2 linked regions of the Stegostoma tigrinum genome follow. The protein of the gene in region 1 purifies or fractionates together with the protein of each later gene. This does not show direct contact. Links are inferred from orthologs where the notes say so. Each region holds a gene or a part of one and is shown on either strand. Other genes may lie near its edges.

Region 1 (9,819 bases):
GCTGGTGTGAACTCAATGGGCTGAATGACTTGCTTCCACACTGTAAGGATTCTAGGAGATTTTCTTTTCAAACACATAGTGGTGAGCCTCTGGAACCTGCCACAGAGAAAGCATTTGAGGCCAAAACATTGAATGTTTTCGAAGAGGCGTTAGATACAGTTCTTAGCATTAAACGGGTCATAGGATACGGGAGAAAATGGGAACAGGTTAATAAGTTGGATGCTCAGCCACGATCATTCTAAATGGCAGAATAGGCTTGAAGGGCTGAATGGCATACTCCTGCTCATATTTTCTAGGTTTCTAGGCAGTATTCCTAAAGTTGTAGAATTCTGTCACAGTGGTTTGATGTTAGAGCTATACACATATTATTGTTGTTGAAACTTTCATCTATATTGTTCCATCTTCATACAGACCAATGTCCCTAGTGGCCTCGTTATGCTCCATATCAATTGTCATTCAAACTTGACTTTTCCAATACTGCTAGTTTTTTTTAAGAAACCATTCCCTCAACATTCTCACATTCACTGATACAAACTGTAATCTGGGACTGACAACACCTCAATTGTTATCGTACTAAAACAATTTAACATATTCCCCAAATACATCAAGTTGAGTTTTTTTTAATTTATTCATTCATGGAATCCATATGTTGCTAGCTAAAATTGCATTTGCTGTCAATCCCTAACAATTCCTTCAGTTCAAGAAGGCAGCTCACCACCACTTTCTCAGGTGCAACTAGGGATGGGCAAGAAATGCAGACCGGCCAGCAATGCCCACATCCCACAAAATGAATAGAAAAAATGACACCAAGCAGGTGGCAATGCGATACCTTCTTGAACTGCTGCAGTTCACAGAGGGTACGAACAAGAGGAGAGTTGAGGAGCTGCGTTCCAATACAGTACTACCCCTTTCCTTCCAGGTCAGAGGCCGTCGTGGATTTAGAAGGTAATGCTGAAAATATGTTTCGTTCACATTATACAGCTGCATTTTCATCAATGACGATGAGGTAATCTCTCTTTGCACAGCCACATGGGAAATGACTTCATCAGCACTGGTGTAAATGAATGCATCTGAATCCATTGAGAGATGGACTGGTTCTGTGATTATTTCTAATTTAATGGAACACTTCCAAACTGTTTTCAGTCTTATCTCCTTTTCCACCATAAGCTCCACATAATTTATGTATCTGACCTCTCTGAAGTAACCTTCGATGACTTTATTCATTTTTACAAGGCAACCACCTACTTCTCTAATGAACATCTGTATCAACTAGCATTTTCACATTATTTTTGACTGCAGCATTAGCACAGACTATTTTAAATGTTGGACCACCATTTTGGGAACTCTGCACTTCGAGCTATATCCAACAAGACAATTAACTTTGTATTTACATAGCATGTGCAATGGAATCAAATATCTCAAAACACACATCTTCTGAGAGTGGTGGGCACCAGTTACCCAGATCTAAAGTGGGGATGTTTGTACAACATTTAGTGTCATCACACAAGAACAAGTATAAAAAGAACAAGGATATTGCAATACTACAATGATTGCCTCAACTCCTGACTTCCCATTGTTAGTCTACAAGACACAATGTCAGGAGGTGATGAAACATTCCCCACTTGCCTAGTTGATTGCAGCAATCACAACACTCAAAAGGCTTTACAAATTCCAGGACAAAACAGCCCTCTTGATCCCCCCTGCCATCAACACACATAGTAGTAATGTGTGCAATTTACAGGAAACACTTAAGTAACTCATCAAGTGTTCTTAAACAGCACCTTCCAAACCCACAACTTCTTCCACCACTAAGGGCAAAGGCAGCAGATACATGTGAACACCACTGCTTGGAAAGACCCCTCCAGGCCAAACACCATTCTGACATGAAATTGTAACACCATTCATTCATCATCACTGGGTAAACCCTTGTACACCCTTCATCCCAGCATTGTGGGAATATCAACCCACACAACCTGAAATAGTTCAGGACAGTGGCTCACCACCTTCTTAAAGATGAGGAATGAGCAATAAACATGAATCTGACCAGTGACTGCCAAATCCTGTGATAGAATTTTAAAAAATTGAATAACTGCAAAATATTGTGGATGATGTAAATCCTAAACAGAGAAAATTCTGGACAAACTCAACAAGTCTGGCAACATCTGTGGTGAGAGAAACAGGCAGGTTCCTCTTCAGTTCTGAAGAAATCATACCAGACTGGGAACATTAACTCTCTCTTTCCATAGATGCTGCCAGATTTGATGAGTTTCTCCAGTGTCTTATGTATTTGAATTTTTTAAAAAATTATTAGTCGCATTTACCTCAGTACAGTGAAGTTTTGTTTTGCAAGCAGTACACGGCAGATCATACTATACAAAGTGCTTAGGTTACTAGATCAGAGTGAAGAATATAATGAAATGGCTGCAAAGAAGGTGCACAAAGAGCCAAATCAACATAAATTTAAAATTTGAGCGGTACACTCAGAAGTCAAGTAACAGAGATGAAGCTGTTGTCGTTGGTATGTGTGTTTAAGCTTTTGTATCTTCTGCCTGACAGATAAGGTTGGAAGATATTGTAACTGGGATCGGAGGAGTCTTTGATTATGTTGGCTGCCTTACTGAGGCAGTGGGAAATATAGATGGAGTCGATGGTTGGAAAGTTGTCTTGCTTGATGAACTGGGCTGTGGTCACAACTCTGTAGTTTAAGATCCTAGGCACGGTAGTTGTCATACCAAACTGTGACACATCCAGAGAGAATGCTTTCTATGATGCATCTATGAAAATTGTTAAGAGTCTTTGCAGACATGTCAAATTTCCCTAGCCTCCTGAAGAAGCACTGGCGTTGTGCTTTCTTGACCATTACGTGATTAAAAATGAAAAATAACCTTACTGATAATAAGTTATCATGGCACTACACACAAGGGCCTTCAGTTTATCCACACTGCACTTGTTATGGTCCCTTTTAATTTACCCAGGTTGTTTGCACCCATGGCAGGGTCACTTTCTTCCAAGGTGAATAAGAAGACATTGAACCACTGCTATCAGTTTCGCTCACCCAAACAGTATTGCATCAACTTAAGACACACGCAAAACGATCAACTACGAATTTCTCAGCTCATGAATGATTGTTTTAATTCCGTGGGGATGGGGTAGGGGAAGAAAGAGATGGAAACAAGCATACAGCCCAATCAAAATAATTTGATAAGCAATCCTCGGAACTACAGCTTGTTTTTAAATCGTACGCTTTTGAAAACTCAGTACGCTGGACTGGCTTCATTTCCTTTGGTTGTGTAAACATTGCCGAGGCGAGTCTGTGGATGGTTTTAGTTTCATCCTGAAACAGGCGCTGGCGTGAACGGGCAGGTAGCAACATAATACATACCTGACAGGAGGTCGCCTTCTCAACATTAAAAAAAACACGTGAAAATCAGTTCTAAGCTTTCTGGATCCCCAAAGATAGTTTTAATTTTGAAAACCTCGGAGGAAAGACACAAATGAAGGTAAAACAACTACACGAACTCTACACTGCCACTCTGGCAACTTTCGTAATTTATATACTTTAGGCAAATACACCCTCATTTTAAAAAAAAAGCAGCGCAGTATTCTCTTTAACTCATTCATACTGCAAAACTCACCAGGTTAGAACAACAAAAGCAGTGATGAGACAGGAGGATGCTGCTGATCGAAGAGCAGGCAGAATGAGTGGGGGATATCTACTGCACCTGAGACACAAAGACAGAGGGGGGAAGAGAGAGTTTTAAAACAAAAACTTAGCACATGGTAAACACCATCCACTGACAGTGCAAGTCGAACTTATTGTTTATTGATAGAGCGAGCTGAAGACTGAATGGACAAGCAGCAATGTAAAAAAAAGACACCCACCTTTCACTCCTTCACATAACATCCAGCCCGGACCGGTTCCAACTCGGACTGAAACGCGAGCTGCCGCTAACGTCACATCACCAACCGCTCCCCGTTCCGAGCGCGCGCCTGTTGATCCCGGAGCGCGACTTCCAGCCGTGTCCCCGCCCCCAACCCCGGAGGCCGCAGGCGCAGTGCAGAGGTAGTTCGCCGCTGGTTCTGGTCTCGGCTGTTCCCGCCGGCGGGTCGTCGCTCTTCCTCCCTTCCCCCAAACACGGCTCCGCCTTGTCTTCCTTCTGCGAATTGCGCCATCCAGTGCCTTTCTCACTGGTCAATCCGTTTCGCGCTCAGTTTGTGATGATTTTTTTGACTGAAGGACCTAAGTGAGTATCTTAGACCCTGTCGACTGAAATGTATATATTTGTCGTTTGTCATTTTGCTCTACCGCTGAATTAGTGATTGTCCCAGTACTTTTCACTTTGTATTTTAATGCTTGAGTCTGCTTGACTCTGAAGATTCATTTGAAACCAGTCTCGTTGTTAGATTATTCATCCTGTTTTAGAATGTGTATTACCTATTCGCTTAGTGAAGGTTGGCATATATTGCCGATCCTAAATGCCCTTATTTGTTAACTAAATAACTGTGGCCTGTGGCTTAGCTCCGTTAAGGGTAAAATCTATAAATGATATGTAAAAAGGGTAAGTCGTCTTAAAGCAAGAATGCGTTGAGAAGATCCTGGCCTCAGAAAGGGGAATCCTAAATTGAAGAATCTACAAATGATTCTTGGGACTTCCACTGTTTGTAAATTGTATTTGTGAATTAATGTCTTGCCTGAAATTAATCTGTCTTTTCAAAACAGATTGTTTATCTCATAACGCATTTGGGAGTCTTGTGTGCAAATTGACTGATGTCCCAATAGTAGCGACAACACTTCAAAAGTAATTCATGAACTGAAATATCTGAGACTTCCTTGAGGTATGGAAGGCATTGTTTGGGCATGCCTTCTCTCTACACCATATAAGCTGTTGCCTCTCAGCGCCTGTCTATTCTCTGATCATCTGGCATTATATTTTTTTTCTCAAATGAAAACAAAGTGTTGCAGGAACAAAGCAGGCCTTAGCAATATTTGTGGTGTAAGAAAAAAATTCAGATGTCTAAGGTTCTTGAGTAGATTTGTCACTCTAGTTGTGAATGCTGCGGTTGGTTCAGGGGCAATCCACCTAACCTGCACATCTTTGGACTGGGGTGGGAAACCGGAGCATCCAGCAGCACTCGGACACAGGGAGCACATGCAAACTTGACACAGACAGTGACCCAAACCTGGGTGCCTGGCATTGTGAGGCAACAGTATTAACCACAGTGCCACCCAACTCGACTTCCTACATGGATGGGTGCAGTGTGAAATACAGAATGCCCATCAACAACCCACGGACAGTAGAACACAGTGGCCACAGGATGGTGAAGACAATGATCAACAACGCATACAACTGGCTCCATAGATATGACAGAGAAATTACACGCCGAAAAACCCTATTTCTAGACGCTACCAACCTAGACTGGACAACAGACTTAGAATGAGCCAATAATGTCAGTCAACAGATAACAAGAACCAAGAAAACACAGATCCTCTAAGAAAAACTAGCCAAACTAACTCACCAAAAGGACAACCGTAGGTCAGACACTTGGATAAAAAAAACTTTCAGACAGGAAACTAACAGACATAGAAAAAGCTGTTCTAATACGTGTACTCAACTATACCATAGACACGCTAACAAGACAGAATTTCTTGCCACACTAGAAGCCACACTCAAGACCAACAGCATCAATGAGGAAACGCAACAAGCTGTAAGACAGACAATAATCCTGACACTGACCAGCAGGAGCGAATATTACATTCTCAACACATCAGAATGGAAGGCCCTCGAAGGACTGATAAAAGACAAAAATGTCATAATACTAAACAAACGGGACTACCTCACTAATGCACAGACACTACTAGCAGACACAAGCATGTACTGGCAAGTGCAAATAGACCCAACAGCTGGGTAATAAAATAATCTACACACTAAAGAGACTCAAACAGACCAGACACATCAACAAAACAGACCACCCAAAAATGGAACCAGAAGCGACAAACACCCCATAATTCTGCAGCCTCACAAAGGTACACAAACTGGAAGTACCCCTCAGACCCATAGTCTCCCTCTCAGGCACACCAACACACAGGTTAGCCAAGAAGTTACAACGAAGTCTAAAGCACCTCGTCAGCAAGTCAACTCACTCAATCCACTCAGCCCAGGAGTTCGTCACTTCCCTCAAGGACGTAAGAATAGTTGATGATGAGACCATGGTGTCCTTTCACATTACTGCCCTATTCACATCGATTGACGTACCACTGACAAGGGAAACACTTGCAACACTGCTAAAAGAACAAGACCTGAGTGACACCATCTCCACAGACTATGTGCTGAAAATACTGGACTTAGGCCTCATGACCATCTTTACTGTTAATGGACAGATCAATGAACAGATCAGCGGGATACCCATGGGGTCACCTATCTCCAGACTAATAGCTTAAGCGGTGATGCAGAGACTCGAAAGCATGGCCCTTCCACAAATCCAACACAAAGTATGGATCCGATTTGTGGATGATACTTTCATCGTCTTCAAACAGACCAAACTAGAGGAGACACACCAACTAATAAACAACACACTCATTGGCATCAGATTCACCACAGAAGAGGAAAAGAACGAATAGCTCCTATTCCTGGACATTGTGGTAGAACGCAGGGCCAACGGGGAACTCCTGATGAAGTACACAGAAAAGCCACACACATTGATCAAGCACTGAATTTCGTCAGTAACCACCCCAACATCCACGAACAAAGCTGCGTGAAAACACTATTTAAACAAGCGGCAACATGCTGTAGCAACCCGGAGCTATGCCAAAAAGAAGAACAGTACCTCCTCCAAGTATTTAAGGACAATGGATACCCGAACAACTAGATCCGACGATGCCTATCATACAAACAACAACAGGAAGATACCACATGCACTAACGCATTCATCATGCTACCATACGTTGAGAAAATGTCTGAACTGACCACAAGACTCCTATGACCATTGGGCATTAGAGTAGCACACAAACTCAGTCAACCCTACGCCAACTGCTCATTGGAACCAAGGACCCCTTATCCACTTTGGACAGAACCAACATAATGTACAGAATTCCATGCAAGGACTACGACAAATGTTTCATCGGACAGACAAGAAGAAAGTTGGCCGCAAGTACGTGACCACCAACTAGCAACAAAAAGACTCACTCGTCTCCGTTCACACGGATAAGAAGAACTACCAGTTTGATTGGAACAAACCAGGATCCTAGGACAGGCCAAACAGAGACAAGCATGGGAATTCCTAGAGGCCTCGTTCTCCACCAAGAAGGCCGTCAACAAACCCATAGAACTAGACCCTATATATACACCACTGTGAAGGAAAACCAGAAATGAGGTAACCAAATCCAATGGACCCCAGAGTTTAAATACCAGGTGGGAAAACACAGTAGTGCTTTATTGGTGGCTGCACTGATGATGTTACCCAGCAGGGTAATAAAATGCCTGCAAATTAACGAACGAGCTTGGCGAGTGAACCAATCTCAAAATTTAGACGTCATACAACACCAGGTTATAGTCCCAACAGCTTTATTTGAAATCACAAGCTCTGTGGCACTGCTGTTTCATCAGATGAAGTGAATTTATCTACCCCAGTCCAACACTGGCACCTCCACATCAAAAGAAACAAATGACTTCTGTTTAAAATTTGTTGTTGAGATGTGAGCAACAGTGGCTCGGCCACCATTTATTGGGCCATCCCTAATTGGCCAGGGGACAGTTAAGAGTCAAATGCATAGCTGTAGGTCTGGAGTTGCATATAGGCCAGACCTGAAAAAGGATGGCAGGTTCCTATCCCTAGAGGCCATTTATGAACCAGATGGGATTTTAAAACAATTGATGGTGGTTACATGGTTGCTATATTATTACAGAATTTTATATTTTAAAATAGAATTTCACCATCTGCTTTGTGGGATTTAAACCAATGCCCCAGAACATTAGCCTGGGCTTCTGAATTACTAGACCATTCTTACTTTTACCATTATACCACCACTGCCACCACCAACACCTTCCCCCACCTACCCCCCCAATATTACATTTACTTGCTGCATGTGTTTTCAGTGGGGTGAGAACATGTCATAAGGTTGAGCAGCTAACCCATTGTTTCTCATCACTTATTCTAAATTCAGTTGATGCCAATATTACACTTTCTTTCTCCTTTTAGTTTTCTTGTGGAGAAAAATTAAGGAAACTAAAGAACAATCCACTCAAAGTATTCATTACAGGTAAACATTTTAAATATTGGGAATTAATATATTAGGAGGGGAAGAAAGGCAAATTTTATTACCAAACAGTTATGCACTTGTGGCAAGTATGTTTAAGCGGTCAGTAAATCTGTATATCCTTTTTTGACAAATAAAGCAAATAAGATATGAAACTAAGAAGAAATGTTAACTTTCCTGAACCTAATTTGTTTTGTGATCTTAAGAGAGCTTCAACTAATTGTTATACCATTCTTCAGAGTATGAAGAAGAACTGGCAGCAAAGGATTAAGGACATTGAAACTTTGGCAAGCAGTTATCAGAAAAACCCCATCAGGCAGACTTACAGACCAAAACTTTCAAAACCATGGCAACCATCATCAGTTTGGAAGTTGTTTCATCGCCAGCATCAAGCTTTTAATTTTGTCAAGAGTTGTAAGGCGGTAAAGTAAAATATATTGTTGTATTTTAGAAATGTGAATTGAGATTCATTGTACAATGATTATCATCTGGATTCCTAGGAAGGAAGTAAGCATTCTCTGAACAACTGGAGGAGTCATTGGCCTAGTGGTATTATTGCTAGACTATTAATCCAGAAACTCGGCTGATGGTCTGAGGGACCCGGGTTCAAATCCCACCATGGCGGATGGTGGAATTTGAATTTTAAAAAAATCCTGGAATTAAGAATCTGCTGATCACCATGAAATCATTGCCAATTGTCGGAAAAACACATCTGGCTCACTAATGTCCCTCAGGGGACTAAATCTGTCATCCTCACCTGGTCTGTCTTACATGTGACTCCAGACCCACAGCAATACAGTTGACTCTCAGCTGCCCTCTGAAATGGCCTAGCAAGCCACTCGGTGTGCCAATTGCTATGAAGTCTCAAAGAAATGAAACTGGACGGATCACCTGGCAGCGACCTAGGCACCAGAAAAGACAATAGCAGAAACAGCCTTTTAACCCTGCAAAGTTCTCGTCACTAACACCTGGGGGTTAGTGCCAAAATTGGGCTAGCTGCCTCACAGACTATTTAAGCAACAGCCTGACATTGTCTGTAAGGTATGATTCTGTGAGTATGACAATGTCCCAGTCACCACCATCACCATCTCTGGGTATGTCTTGTCCCACGACAGGACAGACCCAGCAAAGTTGGAGGCACAGTGATATACAGTTGGGATGGTGTTGCTGTAGGAGTCCTCAATGTTGAAGGCTTCATGGCTTAAGGTTAAACGTGGGCACGGAAACCTCCTGGAGATAACCATGTACTGTCCTCCCTCAGCTGATGAATTGGTAATCCTCCATGTTGAACAACACTTAGAGGAAGCGCTGAGGATGACAAGGGCACAAAATGTACTCTGGGTGGGGGATTTCAATGTCCAACACCAAGAGTGGCTCAGCAGCAGTACTACCGATCAAGCTGGTTGGGTCCTAACAGACCTAGCTGCTAGACTGGGTCTGCAGCAGGTGGTGAGGGAATCAACATGAGGGAAAAGCATACTTGACCTCATCCTTACTAATCTGCCAGCTGCAGTTGCATCTATTGCTGACAGTATCAGTAAGATTGATCATTGCACAGTCCTTGT
Region 2 (8,775 bases), on another chromosome or scaffold:
AAGGTGCCATCGGAAACAGGATAAGGCTGCTTTGGAGTCAAAGCTGTCACTTATTTTACTGCGTTACAATATACTTACACGTAAGAAAGGAGTGGAAAATAATTCATTCGTTGTTAGTCTCTCACAGATGAGAATGACTCTCTTCCAGCCTCAATGAGTCCATAGGTGGCTGTATAAACCAAAGCAGTTACCACAGGCAGTGTTACACTTGGGGCGGAAAGTGGTCACGGGAAGGAGTGGGTGGGACATTGATGTAGTAGCACGCTCCTTGGAGAATAGTCGCATAAGTTTTCAGTCATAGTGCATTTATAAAGGATTCGAAATAATGTAGGACTGGTAGCACCAATTCAATCAGCACTAACACTTCAAGCATGATCCTCCACTTGCAAAAGGCTGGTTAAGTTATTCTATAATGGCAACCACACAATTTCCGGACTTCAGCCAGGAGAAAAGGAGGCACTAGAAATTGAAACATCATTTGATAGTCAGCGGCACCCCCTTTCAGGAGAATTCCCCGGTGTGCAATTTGAGTAGCAAAATACAGAGTCCCATTTTAGCAGAAAACCTTGGTCAAATCCACTGAAGGATCACCACTGGAAATATCAATCTCTAATTTATGAGCTGCTGCTGAACTTATTGTGTATTTTCTACTTGTATTTTGGATTTCTGTCATTGGTCATTTTAGCTTTTAAACACGGAATTATATTTTTAGGGATAATACATTGCAGAGCTAATTTTAATTTCTAGCGGTGGTGGAAAACTGATACTTTGTGCTCCTGAGATGCTGCTTGGCCTGCTGTGCTCATCCAGCTTCACACTTTATTATCACTAATGACTGAAAGACGATTGAAGACCCCACTGGAAAATCACGTGGGCTAAATACCAACAGTACAATGCAGACTACTTGTTTTGCCGCCAATGTTGCAGGTTAAAAATAGCCCTTAAGTGATTTAACTCTGAACTCAAAGTCTTGCATTATGGCCAACGAAAAGTTAATATCATCGTTTTGAAAAATGTTTGACCTGTCCCATGCAATTTTTTTCGTTGATAAGTTACGCAAAAGCAACAGCTGAGAGCATTCCCCAAACAATTATTTCAGTGCCTTTTTAAAATTGCAGCCAAAAAGCAATAATGGTTGTCATTACAGGCATGAAATAAACACATTTTGGATACATTAGTTGTCAAAATGTTTATTAATAGATTTGGTTTGTCAAGCTGTACATCAGAAATGGCAGAAGGGATTAGCCAATAGCTCAGAGGAAAGTAGTGCAGTGCCAGGTGCAGAGACCAGGTAGGTCCCAGCCTCAATACCTCATAGGTACTTCTTTTAGCTAACAAACGTAAAAAGGAGACAGACTCAACAGTCCTGAAAGTTAAACTGGAGAGATGCATCCTTAGCTGGCAAGTCAGGCTGAGCCATGAAAGTGTGAAGAAGCTGGGAAGATGCTAGGGGCACATTTGTAAATGTTCTCCAATATGTGTCATTTTCTTCCAGAGAACAGGAGCAAAAGACAGTAAAGGCATGAATTAATCGTGATACTAACCATCAGGTTTCATTTGCGTCTAATATTAATAAGTAGCTTTATAAATACAGAAGATATTAAAATACGTCAAAATTAGTCTTTTTCTAGGTTTATTTGCAACTTTAAATAACTGATAACTTACTTGTAACCCAATCATTGTAATATTTCTCCCTGTTTTCCAGAGTAGACTCTGGTGTTTCAGCAGAGGGCCCGCTATCAAAATCAATCACAGAAGGTCTTCCCATTCCTACTGCAGGAGCTACTTATCCTTCTGTTACTCTCTTCTGGTATCTTCCCCAGGGTCCTTTACCATGGGTGCCGACTCCACATTGATTTTCACGTGGTTTACTTTGGGTTGCATCTCATCTCCTTTTCTCTGCGCCTCAATGCACAGGATACCATCATGGGACAGTGATGACCGAACAAGCAGAGGGTCCACGTCCAGGGGTAGGATGTAGGTACGGGTGAACTCCCGGGAGATAAACCCATGACTGTCCAGTTTCTGCGGATGTCTTCCAGACACTTCCAGAAGGTTGTCCACTGTCCGGACTGTGATCTCATCCGGCAGGAAATGACAGACGTCCAGAAATACCCGAAATTTATGATGCTTTGTTTCAATTCTTGAAAAGCCTCTGTCCAGCTGCTTATTGATCCTGGGTCTGATATAGTAACCATGGTATAATGTAGGAGCTAAAATATCTTCTGGTGACAAACCTGAAAAATGTATTGGAGGTTATCAAACTGTAAGACATAGAGGTGTAGCTTTAGTACAGACCATCCAACTACATTATATTTAAGTTAACGTGATTTTTAAAAAATGCTTTACTTTATATTCAAAAGTATGATATGCTATTCAGTGAGGAAAAAATTTGAATTTAAATGTTGTTAGCTTACTGGTGCTGTTTTAACGCTCTGCACATCCTGGATATTAGTGGGTGTAATGTTGTCCCTGGGCCCTGGGAGTTACACAGTTATGTACAGACGGCCCAGAATTGTATTCTGCGGATCTTCAAACGCACATATCCCTCCCTCACCAAACACACACGTTAGAAGATGGTCGGTCAGGCCATTCGGTGCCACCTCCAGACTGTACAGCTCTGATCATTTTTGAAGGATAGTGGGGTCCAGGGAATACAGTGCTGGCTTTAAAGCAGAGATCGGAAGGCTGTAGGGTGAAGGCGAGAAGTGTACGCTGGAAGATGTGGTTAGCAGCTCCTGGATGCATGGTCTACTGCACTGCACTTTCAGAGAGGGCGCGTTAAGCAGGGTTCAACATCACCTGTAAATACCGCGAAAAGTCAGACTGGACTCAGTACGGATGCTGCTAAACCTGCTGAGTCTCTGCAGCACTATTTGAAGTTATAACTAGTACGAATTCACTTAAGAATTCACATGTCCTTCCAAAACACACAGGGCTGTTTACTGTAGCCCCAACTACAAGCAGTGGATTTTTGGGAAATTCACTCAGCCCGGATTCGAAACTATTGAAACACACAGAGCTGTGCTTGACAGGGATGCAATGGTCACGCACAACTTCACTGTCAAAAGCCGAAATAAACTAACCTTCCCCGAAGTTCTGGTCGTGGATAACTGTCGGTGTTTCCTTCTCGTACTCTACACTCATCGGGTAAGCATGTGGGATGGTCTTGTCCTCCATTGTAGGGGTCAGCGAGCACATAAGCCCAGCACCAAACACACTGGTCTGTTCAGCCTGACCCAGCAGCAGACTGAGGTCACTCCGTCTCAGGAAGCTGAGCGTGGTTTCTGTCTGGACATTCCTGAGGGAGGGGGCTGTTAAACTAGGACGGAAATAGACTAGGACACTGAGAAAGAATGGGAACGTTCCTAAACCACTGGAGATCTCCTCTGGGAAGCACATATGCTCACTACTATTACACCCTGGACCTTGTTTTTATAAATCAAAGAACTGTTGGAAATCTGAAACACAACAAGCAATTGCTGGAGAAACTCTCCAAGGTCTGGCATCATCCCGAGAGGTGACTGTACTGGAACTGTTAACACTGCTTTCTCTCCAAGATACTGTTTTGTGCCCTGGTTGTGGGTTGCTCACATTGTCTTCTGGTTAGGGAATTCAGAATCCACTCAGGACGACCTGTAAAATGAAATAAAACAAAGAACTATGTTGGAAATCTGAAACGAAAACAGAGAAAGCTAGAGAAACTCGGCAGGTCTGGCAACAGCTACGGACAGCGAAATAACATTCCAAGTCCAGTCACCCTTCCAACAGATTCTGGCGGAACTGCCGAGTTTCTCCAGCATTCTCAGTTCCTGTAAAATTAAAAGTTTATAAACATGCGGAGACGAATGGTCAAAATTACATACGACAACACTTCATCTATAAAGAATTTTTTAAAAAAAATGGCTGAACTACTTTTGGTCAGTAAGGATTCACAAATAAAATTCCTTCTGTAGGTTACTCGGGTCTGTTTCCGTGGGAAGGACAAAGCGAGAGAAGGAGTTCTCCTGGATGACCATGAGGCAGCTGCATAGAGAGAAGCACCATCCAAGTGTTACTTTCATTCCAAGCCACGTGAAATCACAACGATCTATCACTGGTTTCCAAGTTGAGGCAGACTCGTCGTTGCACTGACCAGCTATGTGCGCAGTGTCAATTCTGTAGAAAACTTTTTAGAAAATAACTTTAAAACCATGCTTCGAATGTCCCAATGAAAATAAATATAACGAAACATTTTTAAAAGTTGGCCATTAAAAGTTATTTTGTGATGGATAATTCTATCTGCAAGTACATAGTCATTTGTACTAATTTTAGTGTAGTGCACATTTTAATATTACAGCTGTTAGCGACTTCGGTCCTTACTAAGGGCAATTATAAGAGTAAGTACTGGAGTAACTTTACATTGCAATTTTGGAAGGACGTATAAGGAATCCAGCATCTTCTGAAATAGCTATTTTGCTCTGGTTAATTTGTTTTTTTTTCAGTATGGAGAAATGAGACAATTATTCTATGAGATAATTATTTCACTTACAGTCTTCCTTACTTTTTAAAGACTCTGGAAGACATAAAACACGGCGAGAGAATGAAATAGTTCTGTCCAGATAATTCTCTGTTAAGCATTCAGTCACTGCCAGAAACTACACATACCCAGAAAGTTGACATCAGAGGCTTATCACTGGGAGTCTATTTCTGAATTGCAATCCTTCTGTTTGCCATCTTCAATGTTTAAATTCAACATTCAGATAAACGATCAGACAGAGACACAAAAGGAAATAAAATCTTTAATCATTCATTTTTTAAAACAAAACCCGAAACAACATAATATTCCTCTCAGTACAATGGTCTCCTATTGAAATGCCATGAGGTCATCTTCTGTGGCATTCTGAAGCAGTGCCAGCAGAGGAAAAGAGTGATCAGCAGAGCTTTATCCAGCAACGCAGAGACTGGTCCACTGCTTGTGTCAGTTCTAATCCTCCCCCCTAAAACATAAATCCCTAAACAATGAAATCACATGACAGAGTCAATCAGCCTTTCATCAGTTTTCCAGAAAGTTCAACACGTTCGGCGTCATTGTGTATATAAAGGACTGAGACACCAACTGGCCTTCAACCAGCCCCTGGACTGAAGACAGCACAACCACACTGATACACATCCTGCTAATTTTAGAGGAAAGTGAAGATGGACATTGCAGTTCAGACTCCATGGCTACGGCGCTCCCTCATGCCAAATTTCCTCTTCCCCTCCCGTATCTATGACCAGCATTTTGGGGAAAACCTCGATCCTGACTTCTTCCCCTTCTACTGGCGAATGCCATCATCATTGTTCAGGATGCCAAGCTGGGTACAATCTGGACTATCAGAGGTATGTTCGGTGCAAAGTATCCTTAAAGTTGTGGCATTTTCCTAAAATATTTGTTTAACATTTGAATTTCACCACTCGAATCAATCTTTGTGGATGTGTTGCCTGCCTCATAACAATAACGAATGTGCCTAATTGTTCTATGTGTGTATATATATAAAATAAAGAGGAAGGTAACAAACACATAGGTCTGTATGATGAAGTGGAAGATAAATAAACATGTTTATCTATATGATAGAGTGGAAGAAAATAAACATATATGTATCTCTATATGATAATGAGGAAAGGGGGGACATAATATCAGAATAAGGGGACAGCCATTTCAAACTGAGCTCTGAAGAACTTTCTTTGCTAAGAGGTTTGTGGACCTTTGGAAATTTCCATCTGAGAAGGCTATGGATGAGTAGTTGTAGACTATATTCAAGACCAAGTTGATGGAATGAAAGGACATGATAGGATGGGTGTTTGTGAATGGGGGGATGGGGCCTTTTAGGAAAGTGAAGATAACCTTGAGGATCTCTGGAGGCTGGAAATGTTGACTGGACTTGTCCCGCACCTATTTCTTAAGCTCTTACATTGAATCTGTATACACATAAATATATAACTAATTAATACACTTAATTAGTGCAATTAATGGTAAATAATAAGTTTTTTTGACAAATAAATCCGAAGCTGGAACAGTAAGCTCTGTTACCATCTGCAAATTGAAATAAAGGAAAGTTAATGGAATATTGATTTTTCCCTGTAACCTCAAGGCACGTTATGAGGACCAAAGGCTTAGGCTTAATTTTCTGTATCTGAACACATTAATTCCCCAGAAAGCAAGAGTAAGAAAATCTCTGATTGCTGGTAACCTGAAAAGAACCAAAGGAAATGCTACAAATAAATATGATTCACTGGTACATGATAAGTCTTCCAAAGTAACATATAGGACTAAGGTGAGGGGTTCTTGTGCACAAAGGTAATATCCCTACACCAGGGCTCACGTCCTATCCATTCTGAGGGTATATCATCATACATCAGTACAGCTTCATTGAAAATAATTTAGTATCTTGTGGCAGTTTGATAGTCTCCTCCCATTGGGTCAGAAAGTCTGGGTTTAAGTCCTACTTGTCATAGAGGTGTATCCTAACATGTTTGAATAAGCTAATTAAAATATAAATATTTATTGATCAAGGTTTGAACTCTGCTTTAGCTAATAAAATATGAATCACTATGTTGCCTTATCCAGTCTTGTATTTGGTCAGCAAAACCCAAAGTAACTACAAAGTACCCCACTTTCTCCATCCTCCAAAAAGAGGATACAAATATTAATAGTAAAAATTAGCTCAAATTTAAATAACTTAAATTAACAAGTTGGTAATTGTTAAAGCAGTCAATGTCCTGTGATGCTGATTGGGCACATACCTGTGATTGAGCTTTGGAACAAAGTGAGATGCTTACTGATACAAATATGTGGATTAGCAGCATGAGTCAGCCACTTGGTTCCTCATGCTGCTCTGCCAGCTAATAAGATCCCGGGTGATCTCATTGCTCCACATTTCCACCTATTCCCTATACCTTCTTATCTCTTTATTTATGATAACCTTACTCATACATTACCAAAAGGATGTGGATGCTTTGGAGAGGGTGCAGAGGAGGTTCACCAGGATGTTGCCTGGTATGGAGGGTGCTAGCTATGAAGAGAGGTTGAGTAATTTAGGATTATTTACATTAGAAAGACAGAGATTGAGGGGGGACCTGACTGAGGTCTACAAAATCATGAGGGGTATAGACAGGGTGGTAGCAAGAAGCTTTTTCCCAGAGTGGGGGACTCAATTACTAGGGGTCATGAGTTCAAAGTGAGAGGAGGAAAGTTTAAGGGAGATATGCGCGGAAAGTTCTTTACACAGAGGGTAGTGGGTGCCTGGAACGTGTTGCTAGCGGAGGTGGTAGACGCAGACATGATTGTGTCTTTTAAGATATATTTGGACAGGTACATGGATGGGCAGGGAGCAAAGGGACACAGACCCTTAGAAAATAGATGACAGGTTAGACAGAGGATCTTGATCGGCGCAGGCTTGGAGGGCCGAAGGGCCTGTTCCTGTGCTGTAATTTTCTTTGTTCTTTGTTCTTATACCGGACTCTTCTACAAACGATATTGTCAATGCCAGTAGCCAGTTGCTTTAAGATTAAATATTACATGTAGGATGTAGGTTTGAGTTTTTTTGGTTTTCTGGTTTATTTCCAAATGCAACAATGAATATTTGGAAACAATTGCAGTCTCACTCAAATAGACCATAAGATTGCTTGTCTTCGAGAAGTATCAAAATTCTAAATTTGTGTTAAGTTGCACAGTTGGAGTAGGGGCAATCAAGCATTACTGGAGATCATGAGATGCCAACAAACTGGTAAATAGGAGATTGACCGTATCCCTGTCCTTTAAGTTAGAAATTAAATTTAAGAAAGTTTTAAAGTTTGAAGTTTTAAAGTTTGAAACCTTAGGCCTTATATTATCTGAGTACATTCTCTATAATTCTAGTAAAAATGCTTCACGTTAGAATGAGTTAACATTTCTCAACAATGTCTGCCTTTGTGCAGTTCAATCTGTCCGTTCATATGACTTTATTTATTCTTTGCTCTGTGGGTTGAGTTTACATGCCAGAATGTTGTTTATGAAAAGAATGTTCCGGTAGGACCCACTGAAAGCTGGCCAACAAATTACCATGGAACAATTTACGGCTAATGGAAATCATAATATTGTGCCCTCAATTATCCTGATATCTAAATTAAATAATGTTATGAAATTGCAAAATAAATTTGAATTTCTCTGTACCATTACCCGGCAAGCTGCTAGGACTTGTGTAGAAGAATCTTATTCTCTGATTTTTGCTTCTTCTTTCTCTATGATGACTTAGTTACTCTCTGAAAAGAGTGATCATCTCCTTTTCATGATCTACCAGGGATCAGATACATTTGACACCTCTGACAATATTGTTGTGAATCTATGTCATTTAAAGCTCAGAATGAGAAAAGTTGGACCATTAGAACTCATTGCTTTAGTGCTTATTGCTAGAAAGATTCTTTTCATTACCATCTGCTTGAATCAACAAGTGGCAAGTTAGATTTATACACAAGCAGTAGGTAGTCACTACTTAATGATAAAAGTCTAACTACCTTTCCTTGTCATTTGTTGACCTGACCATCTTTGAATCTTCTACCATTGAAATTGACGAGCAATTCAGCCCAGAACAAAATGCTGTAGTTTCTTGAGCCAGCCAGCAGTCAGCCCCCAAATTCCTAAAGCCTTGCCATCATCTACTAAACACAAGTTGAGGCTGCTGAGATACTCACTTCATGCCCAGACTATCCGGGCCAATGCTGTTTGCTCAATCGGCACGCCATCCACCACCTAAGCCTTTTTAAGACAGCTTCACT

Evidence for each region.
Region 2: the proteins of casp3b (region 1) and cryabb purify together in Homo sapiens (affinity purification with western blotting; 3 studies listed by BioGRID). This does not show direct contact. The link is inferred for Stegostoma tigrinum from reciprocal best matches to the Homo sapiens genes CASP3 and CRYAB.

Annotation. Positions count from the first base shown.
Region 1 is NC_081356.1:113,753,212-113,763,030, reverse strand, and holds the start of casp3b (caspase-3b), read right to left. Parts: upstream 4,087-9,819; 5' UTR 3,883-4,086; intron 3,723-3,882; 5' UTR 3,636-3,722; intron 1-3,635. Other genes in the region: primpol (DNA-directed primase/polymerase protein), read left to right, coding at 8,497-8,676. UniProt on the Homo sapiens protein: Thiol protease that acts as a major effector caspase involved in the execution phase of apoptosis. Following cleavage and activation by initiator caspases (CASP8, CASP9 and/or CASP10), mediates execution of apoptosis by catalyzing cleavage of many proteins.
Region 2 is NC_081385.1:12,616,297-12,625,071, reverse strand, and holds the start of cryabb (crystallin, alpha B, b), read left to right. Parts: upstream 1-4,963; 5' UTR 4,964-5,178; coding exon 5,179-5,361; intron 5,362-8,775. Other genes in the region: hspb2 (heat shock protein beta-2), read right to left, coding at 1,798-2,237, 3,087-3,402. UniProt on the Homo sapiens protein: May contribute to the transparency and refractive index of the lens. Has chaperone-like activity, preventing aggregation of various proteins under a wide range of stress conditions.